Caenorhabditis elegans: one gene and its partner. The protein of the gene in region 2 interacts with the protein of the main gene of each other region in a pairwise test. Each region holds a gene or a part of one and is shown on either strand. Other genes may lie near its edges. The genes, in order: Y73F8A.5 and idpb-2.

What was found.
Region 1: the proteins of idpb-2 (region 2) and Y73F8A.5 interact in a two-hybrid assay, tested with the Caenorhabditis elegans proteins (one large-scale study listed by BioGRID).

The regions. Positions count from the first base shown.
Region 1 is NC_003282.8:15,258,071-15,262,964, reverse strand, and holds the start of Y73F8A.5 (uncharacterized protein), read right to left. Parts: upstream 3,098-4,894; 5' UTR 2,910-3,097; coding exon 2,902-2,909; intron 2,885-2,901; exon of another isoform or gene 2,864-2,884; intron 2,637-2,863; exon of another isoform or gene 2,610-2,636; intron 2,535-2,609; exon of another isoform or gene 2,510-2,534; intron 2,258-2,509; exon of another isoform or gene 2,237-2,257; intron 1,939-2,236; exon of another isoform or gene 1,918-1,938; intron 1,610-1,917; exon of another isoform or gene 1,589-1,609; intron 1,154-1,588; exon of another isoform or gene 1,132-1,153; intron 1,109-1,131; coding exon 915-1,108; intron 856-914; coding exon 651-855; intron 612-650; exon of another isoform or gene 586-611; intron 529-585; coding exon 415-528; intron 397-414; exon of another isoform or gene 373-396; intron 192-372; exon of another isoform or gene 171-191; intron 149-170; coding exon 1-148.
Region 2 is NC_003280.10:5,068,037-5,071,535, reverse strand, and holds idpb-2 (Intrinsically Disordered Protein, class B), read left to right. Parts: upstream 1-1,910; 5' UTR 1,911-1,927; coding exon 1,928-1,984; exon of another isoform or gene 1,985-2,031; coding exon 2,032-2,246; intron 2,247-2,506; coding exon 2,507-2,801; 3' UTR 2,802-2,888; downstream 2,889-3,499. Other genes in the region: C27A2.7 (C2H2-type domain-containing protein), read left to right, coding at 173-352, 657-728, 870-943, 1,019-1,172, 1,550-1,678.

The DNA of each region.
Region 1 (4,894 bases), on a different chromosome or scaffold from region 2:
TTTCCGCCAGTCCCCGTTCTTCTCCTCCTCATCTTTTTCTTTTTTCGTATACTTCAAAAACATTGACTTGGCAACGTCATTGTAACTCTGACATTGCTCATTTCGAATGTCAACTTGCATGGAAAGTGCTCGGTTGTTACGGGGCATTCTGAAAGTTTTTTGGATTCACAAAGAAAAAGTATCACTTCTTATCACTTTTATATTTTTTGGTTGGCTTTTATGAAGAAAGTGAAACATGAGTTGATATTTCGTAAAATCAAAATTTTACGAAAAAATATTTTCATGGGCGTTGCCGAGTTTTTTTTTTGCCAAACAGCAAAATTTTTAACTGTTTCACATTTTGAATTTAATCCAAACGTATATGCTCTCTATTGCGGCTTCTCCTTTCATGAGCAAAATCGAAATCCCTCTCACCTATATGTAAACTCCACGGATCCAGGTCGAACAAGATTCGCGGAAAACGAGAGTTTTGACACACACGGTGTTGGAATGTAGATCAGCTCACCGTCCTTGACAACCCAACCGGCTCTGCAAAAATTCAAATGTTTCAGGTTGTAGAGAAATTTTAAAGAAAAAATAAATTTATTCGATAGGTTGTTTGATGAGGCGCCCGTTAGCTGTCTGCTGCACAACAAATGTCAAAAACTCACTCTTTAGGACACTCGACCACCTGGCTCTGTCGATTTGAAAACTGTGCATCTGGATTTGAATCCATATTGTCTACTGAAAACCCACTGGGCAGAGTTACGAATTCCTCGTATCTGATTCCACCGCCAAGACTGAAAAATCCAGGATTGCACGGTCGGCAATGTTGACTGTCCAAATCGAGATAGTGCCCCGGCTCACAGGAAAATGCTGGAACAAATTTTAATATCATTCGTGCTTTCGTAACAACTAGTAACCCCAAAACTCACAGCAATTCAACCCTCTCCTCGGAGTCGGTAAATTGGAGCATTGCATTCCGCCACGTGGCACCGCAACTCTCCACCGTTCTCCATTTTCATCACAGTTTGTGTACGTGAACTCGTAATCTTGATCTGTGCAAATTTGTTGAGAAGCTATCAAGGAGATAAATGATGAAATGATGAGGAGAATTGTGATATGAAACCTGAAATTTTTTTTTGGTATTTAGTGCCGCTTACTAACTGTTAAACTGCTAAACAAGAAAAAAACTGACATTTATGTATTTTGTGAAACAGTAAAAACTTTGTTTGTTTCAAAATATCTAGATTTTCTTTTCATGTGCATACTTTGTTCCATAGTTTTTGACCATGCTTAAAATAACAGAAATTATGAAAAAAAGCTCAAACACCCCTTTTTTCTCATCAAAAAAAATAAAAAAATCCGAGTAGATCTACTTTTCCAATAAGAGCGAGGTTGCTCTTTTGTCAACAAATGAAAAATGCACTTTTTGTGGTTTCTGCTTCAAAAATAATAAGACCTGATTTTTATTTAAAAAATTTTGGGATTAGAGCTCTCTCAATTATTGAAATGTTTAAAAATGTGAACTTCTGTTTTTCACAACTTTACAAAAAAATATTTCTGTTTCACAATGTGCATATAATTAAGAAAAGACTTTTATTAACAATTCTTAGTACATAGTAGGTGAACATACTAAATACCATTCGTATATGTATTGAATTTGATGCCTTTTTTCGACGAATTATATTTTCAAAAACCCAACATTTTTGTAAAATTGACTAATTTTTTTCAATTTTGGCTGGAAAAATTTGAAAAAATTTTTCAATTTCTTGTGAATTGCAGTCGTTTTGTGACAAAAAATTTTGATCTTTTCGAATTATTCTCCTCAAAAATTGCTTTTTTTTTGTATAATTTCAAACAAAAAATATTGGCATATTTTCTGAAACAACTGTTTCAATATGTTAATAAAACTTTTACATATTTTTTGACATTTAATGATCTGTTCTTTTCATTTCAAAATTTTCCGGAAACTTTTAGATCGACTGTTCCGCAGATTTCACAATGGTCATATAGTTTGTAGGAAAATAAATGATTTTTGGATGGTATGTGGTTTTTTCTAGTTACTGAACATACATTTTTTTCTAATTTTTTTTTTTCAGAAGACAACCAATTTTTAAGAGCTTTCATAGAAACTAGATATGTTTATTAAACTACTATGTTTCCAAAACAAATAAATCTGTTTAAAAAAACTTTGTTCTGAAATTTTTTCTGTTTCATGTTGAAGGTGAAAATTACATTTTTGAGCAATAAGTGGTTACGTTCGTTTTTTTTAACTTGTCGAAAAATATAAGATGTTGCATTTTCAGGAAAGCCACATATTTTTGAAAATGAGCATATTAGTGATGTTATTTAATTACTGGTTTTTTTTAGAACAAAAACATTGAAAAGTGCCAAAAACTATTTCTATGGTAAAAATCCATATTTAACCACACAAACTAAAATGCCACTCAAAAAAACAAAAACGTGTTTTAAATTATTTTTTTTCTGTTTCAATTTAAAAGTATAGTTGTTCGTAATCAAATTTTATTCGTTAGGGTTGATGAGTTAAGTTTTTTCAAAACAAAAAAAAGTTCAAATTTTATCTGTTTCATGTTGAAAGTATAGCTGTCCATTTATTTTTTAAATAATATTGTTTTCGAACGCAATTCTTGTTTATGTAGTTAATAATAAGAATTGTTCTCGAACTTTCGTGCGCATTTTTAGTGCTAATCATGGTGATATAATTTTGTAAAATTTGAAATATAATTTTCAGTTTTTCGTTAAACATTTTTATTGTACACATTCTCTAATATTTCCTTGAGCTTTTCTTCAAAAAAAATTATTTCAAAAATTCTCTGTTTCATTTTGAAAGTATATCTCTTCGTGTTTTTTGAGATTTCAGTTTTCGCGTGTTTAGGTTAAAATCAAAAAAAATCTTACCAAAGCATAATGATATCAGCGCTCAAATCGGCTTAGCAAGATAAGAGATCAGTAGAAAAATAACGGCAGAAATAGTATATTTTGAATATTTCTATCGGATTCGATTCCACATTTTTCAATTTGGAAGACCAGTAGTCGATTTTAATTATCCGAAAAACGAAAAAGCCGCTTTTAGAAGAGAATATAGACAGGGAGAAGCTCTGTGTTGAAAAATATAGAGATGAGGAGGTTTAGAGAAACAGAAGACGTGCTCTTTTCTCTGCGCCTCTCTGTCCCCCTCTGCTCCATCACACGCCTTCAGCATCTCCTCTTCTCCCACAGAATATCGATATTGGATGTCGTGAGGCGGAAAGGGAAGGAGACACGAGGAGAATGCAAATGCATTTTGGATTATTTAAAGGCAGATGGGTGTTCATTTTGAGAAAGATGTATTGGATTGATTAAGAGGATAGTGAAACCGGCGATTTTGTTTTCTCAAAAAATTAAATGACCTTGAATGTAAATTAAATGCATAAATTGGGGGACATGAAGCACACGGCGAGAGAATAATAATTAATACTTTATTCACAAAATAAATGAACTACGTGAAACAGTAAAAAATTTTCGCTAATTTTCAAATAGTTTTTTGAACGTTAATTGCACTTTAGTTAGAGACAGAGACCGGTCGATTCAATTTTTTTTTCTAAAAATTGCCGAATTTGCCGAGCTCGACAAATTTTGAGATTTGCCGGACACCCCTGATTCCTTCTACTCTTTTTTGACACAACATGTAAAAACACGTTTTTTTTATGCCAAACATGAAACAGTGCCCTAAAATGTAATTTTTTCCAGCATACAACAATTACCTTGGGTTTTTGATAAGTACTGCACTGCGCCATATTATAGAAAAAATACGATCGCACAAAAATAAACGCAACGCAACGACACTCCGTTGTTTTTAAGCCGCATTTCAGTGCAAATGAAATTGTGGGCGGAAAAAAAATTTTGCAAAAATGAATGCAAAATTGTACAAATTTGAAAAAAAAAGCTGAAAATGAAACATTCGACTGATAAAATTGTTTTAAAGTTTTTTTTTAGTATAGGAAAAATATAATTATTTTGTCAGTTCTGTGTTCCCTTTGAGAAGGATGTATTGGATATTAAGAGGATAGTGAAACCGGCGATCTTGTTTTCTCAAAAAATTAAATGACCTTGAATGTAAATTACATGCATAAACATGACGAATTGGTAATAATAATTAATACTTTATTCTGAAATAAATAAGCAACGCGAAACAGTGGAAAATTTTCGCTGATTTTCAAATCGTTTTTTTTTGAAAATTAATTTCACTTCAGTTGGACTGAAATAAAAACCGGTTGTTCAACATTTTTTCAAAAACTTGAGAAAAAAAACAAGTTTCTGCCCGAAGTATCAAGAAAATGACAATTTTTAGAATATTTCGAAATTTGTAACTTTTGTTTTTAATATTATTTGAAGATGCAGTAAAATTGTTTGAGGATTTAACTTTAAATGACCGAAAAAAGTATCTTTAAAAAATTGTGAAGTTATTCCAACATTTTCTATGTTAGACAAAAATTGAAAAATGTTAGGCGAAAATTGAAGAAAGTGCAATGAATTTAACCGGACAACACAAAAAATGCCAAAACTGGGCCATTAGATTGCGCGGGAATTTGAAAATAATCATTTAATTTTTGCAAAGTTGGAAAAAATCTCAAAAGCTTCATTGAAGTGAAAATCCAATTTTTTCATTAAAAAACCTAAAAGTCATGCAACCTCAGTAATTATGAATGTCGTGAGCTATTTCGATGACTTTGCGTGAAATGTGTTGTTTCACTGGTGCAGTTTTTAAGTATCGTAGCAGACGGGAAAGGCGGAAACCGGTAGATGTCGGACCATCTTATCACTTTTTGTTAAATGATCTTACCAATGGACTCACGGCATTTAACACCGAATAGGTCACATCGCAAAAAATAGCAAAAGAAACATACAGTTG
Region 2 (3,499 bases):
GAAATCGGAACTTTTCTAAAACTTTGGAAATCGACCGAAACTTTGCCAGAAAAAAATGTATTAACAATTAACAGTTTTGGAGAGTTTTTTTTCTTATATTTTCATGTTGAACTACTTTTCCAAATCCTCTACTGACAATAATCATTAAATCTTTAAATCTTTTTCATCAGGTATGACCTCAACTATGTCATTTGGCAGTCCCAAAATAGATTTTGGAAAGAAATCTTCAAACCTTGAACAGAGTATTCAAAGAATCAAAGTTCGCAAGAGTCTTCTCATGGCTCAGATTTGTTTATCGGACAAACCAGATTTCACTTCCAAAGTGGAGAACAACAATCAACAATCAGAAAAGGTAACTGATAGGTTTTGATATGAGCTATTCTATATATGAATATTAATCTAATTTTCCTGACAGTTCTAAGATATTGTATATCCCCTATTAGTATTGTATGTAATACTTTTTCCATCGATTACTCTGAGTTTAGCTCTTGTAAATATTTCAATTTAATAAGATATATTATATTTAAATATTAGACTCACAAACATTTATTGAAATTGAAAACTTTCAACAAAAGACTACAAACTTACAGTAATCCCAATAGTCAATTGTTTTACACATATTTTATCAGTGTATGTTCATGAAAAATATATTGAAGGTCTACACAAAAGCTCAACGGTCATCTGTCAGGTTTCCAACATACGATGGATTGCTCCCCGCTGGCGGAACAGTAAGCGGAAGCTTATCTCTCTTTCTCCTGTTCTATCATTTTTTGGTATATTCTTCTGTTAGCAATTACTTTGAGAACCTTTTTTTCAATTGTATCTATCATGTTCTTTTCCTGAACACCATCAGTTCCTTCATATTTCAGTACATTTGCGATGAATGCAACAGCGACGAGCGGACCCCATTTCAGCTTTGTGAGCACAAGGCAATTTATCACAGGTTTGCCTATTTTTGAAGAATTTAATTTGTTAGCTATAACTTTTGTGTTTATAAATGTATACTCTGGCGTTTCAGTCCCCAAGACCAGAGGGTTTGGAAATGTGTGTACTGTCACACACAATTTGGAAGGCGAGGTGGACTTCGGAGGCATGTTCAGATGGTTCATATGCAGATGATGCATAAATGTCCCGTAGAGAATTGCACTCATCCAGGATACAAGTGCACAAAGGTGGTCATTTCAATCTTTTTATTGAAGGCAGGACCACGCGCTCGAATTTAAAATTTAAAAAAATTAGATTTATGGAGTACTGTAGTCCACATTTCTTCATTGTTGTTTCAATGTTTTCCGTTCGTTTACATAGGAGCTACAGTACTCCGTCATCCATCGGACGTGTCGAGACGAGATTTTGTATCAGTGGTAAAAACCTTTCAAAAAACGTAGCAAGATTCAAAGGAACCTTTGAACTCTTTTAACTTGAAGATGCAGCTCTAGATTGCCACTAGATTACCAAACGTTATAAATGTTTGAGAATTATTGGTTTCATTAATATTGATTTTTCAAGCCAAAAACACCCTTCAAGTCTATTCAAGTCTATGCTCTTTCAGGCTCTGAATGCTCATGTCAGAACTCATACTCGACCATATGCCTGCCATCGGTGTGATGCTAGCTTTGCACGAAAAAACGATCTACAGAGTCATCTATCAACTCATCAAGCTACTCCAGTCATTCATTAATTTATTATATTATCTCAATTTTCCGTTTCTCTATCTATCTTATTACGATTACCTCTTCTTTTTTTCTGTGATTGTACCATAAACCTCAAAGTCCAACGCGATTTCTCGAGGGTATACGGAAGGGTTGAGTTTTGCTTCCGGAAAAGTGTCAAATGCACTACGCACCGCGCAACCGCAGGCATACTTACGTAAATATTTGAGTGATATAAAAGAAAGCATGAATGGTTCAATGATACACTCGAACTTAACATGAACAAGCTCGTCTGCTCCACCTTCGCCATTCTGGCAATAATCGCAATTTCTCAGGTATCAACGTTTCAGGGGACTTGTGTAGAATTCGAAGATCCTTGCAGGTTCAATCAGCAGTACTACCAGTGTCCTCAAAAGAAGTAGCATTAATAACATCATCTGCTTCAACCACTTCATCATCTGAAACATCAATTGATACATTAGGATCATCCAGAGTTAAAAGACAAGGAGGATGTGGTTGCTGTGGATGCGGATGCGGATGCTGCGGATGTGGTGGAGGAGGTGGAGGAGGATGCGGATGTTGCTGTTGTAGACCAAAGTAAGTTCAGAATTCGACACTTCTACTTTTTTAATTGATAATTCCAGAAATGTTACATTCACTATTTGAAAGATCTTTAATCCTTTAAATCTCAAAGTTTTAAACTTTGTCGTTACGTTTTCAGACTCGTCTGCATCTTCAGCATTTTCAGAATGATGTAGCAAATTTTAGTTCAAATTTTAGTGTAGCAACATCTTTCTTAAAAGAACAGTATCTTTTAGGCACATCTGCCGTTGTAATTTAAAATTTAAAATTTTCAGATGCTGCTGCTGTTGCCGCCGTTGCTGTACATGTTGCCGTACTTGCTGTTGTACAAGATGTTGTACTTGCTGCCGTCCATGTTGTTGTGGATGTGGATGTGGATGTGGATGTTGTGGATGCGGAGGTGGAGGACGTAAACGTCGTTCTCTTCAGAATCTCCGTATTGCTTTGGCTAACAAAATCGAAGGAATCGCCAAAGTCGTGAAGGGATCCGCTGTAGAAGCTTCAGTTATGAACGCATTGGCTCCTGTCAATGATGCTACGGTTGAAGAGAAGAAAGACGTGATCAACTGAGCGATGCGTTTGTTAAACTAATTTAATTAATTTAATTTGAATTCTGTGATTCTCACTTCAGAGAAATAAATAGTTGATTCTCTCTTGATTAACGCAAATACCAAAAAAATGTTATATACATAGAATTAGATAAAAAACGAGTAGAGACAAAGTTCAACAACGTTGTTGTCCATACAAAGCCTTGGAATTTACCGGCCCCCAAAGTATGCCTGGTTTGAGAAACGCTGAAAAATCCTCAGAATTAGATCAGAAAACTCATCAGAAATTGTTGCTTGTAGTAGTGAAATTTTCTTGATTGATCTGAGAAGCTTAAACTTGTTACTAACTTTTCAATAACTCGTCTCATTCTAGAGAACCTGAAAGTAACCGGGAGCTTGTGTGGTAAAATTATTCTACATTGGAAGAAATGGCATATTTCCCTTTTCCCCTATTTTACATTAGGTTTCTATTTTCAATTTCGGTTCAAGAATCATCAATTTTTAATTCCTAGTCCCATTTAGAAATAATGTCGCAACACTCATTCTTCATTCCCAGAGTCTCGCCCATTTCTTTCCCATTGAAACACTAGCTTCTGGTTACCATGACAACTCCATCCTTGTGCTCCAGTAAAAACTGCTCTGTCTCCTCCTTCTCTTTATGCTCACTGCTCCCCCTCCCCACATATATACACCCTAACACGCAACATAATCGCATGTGTG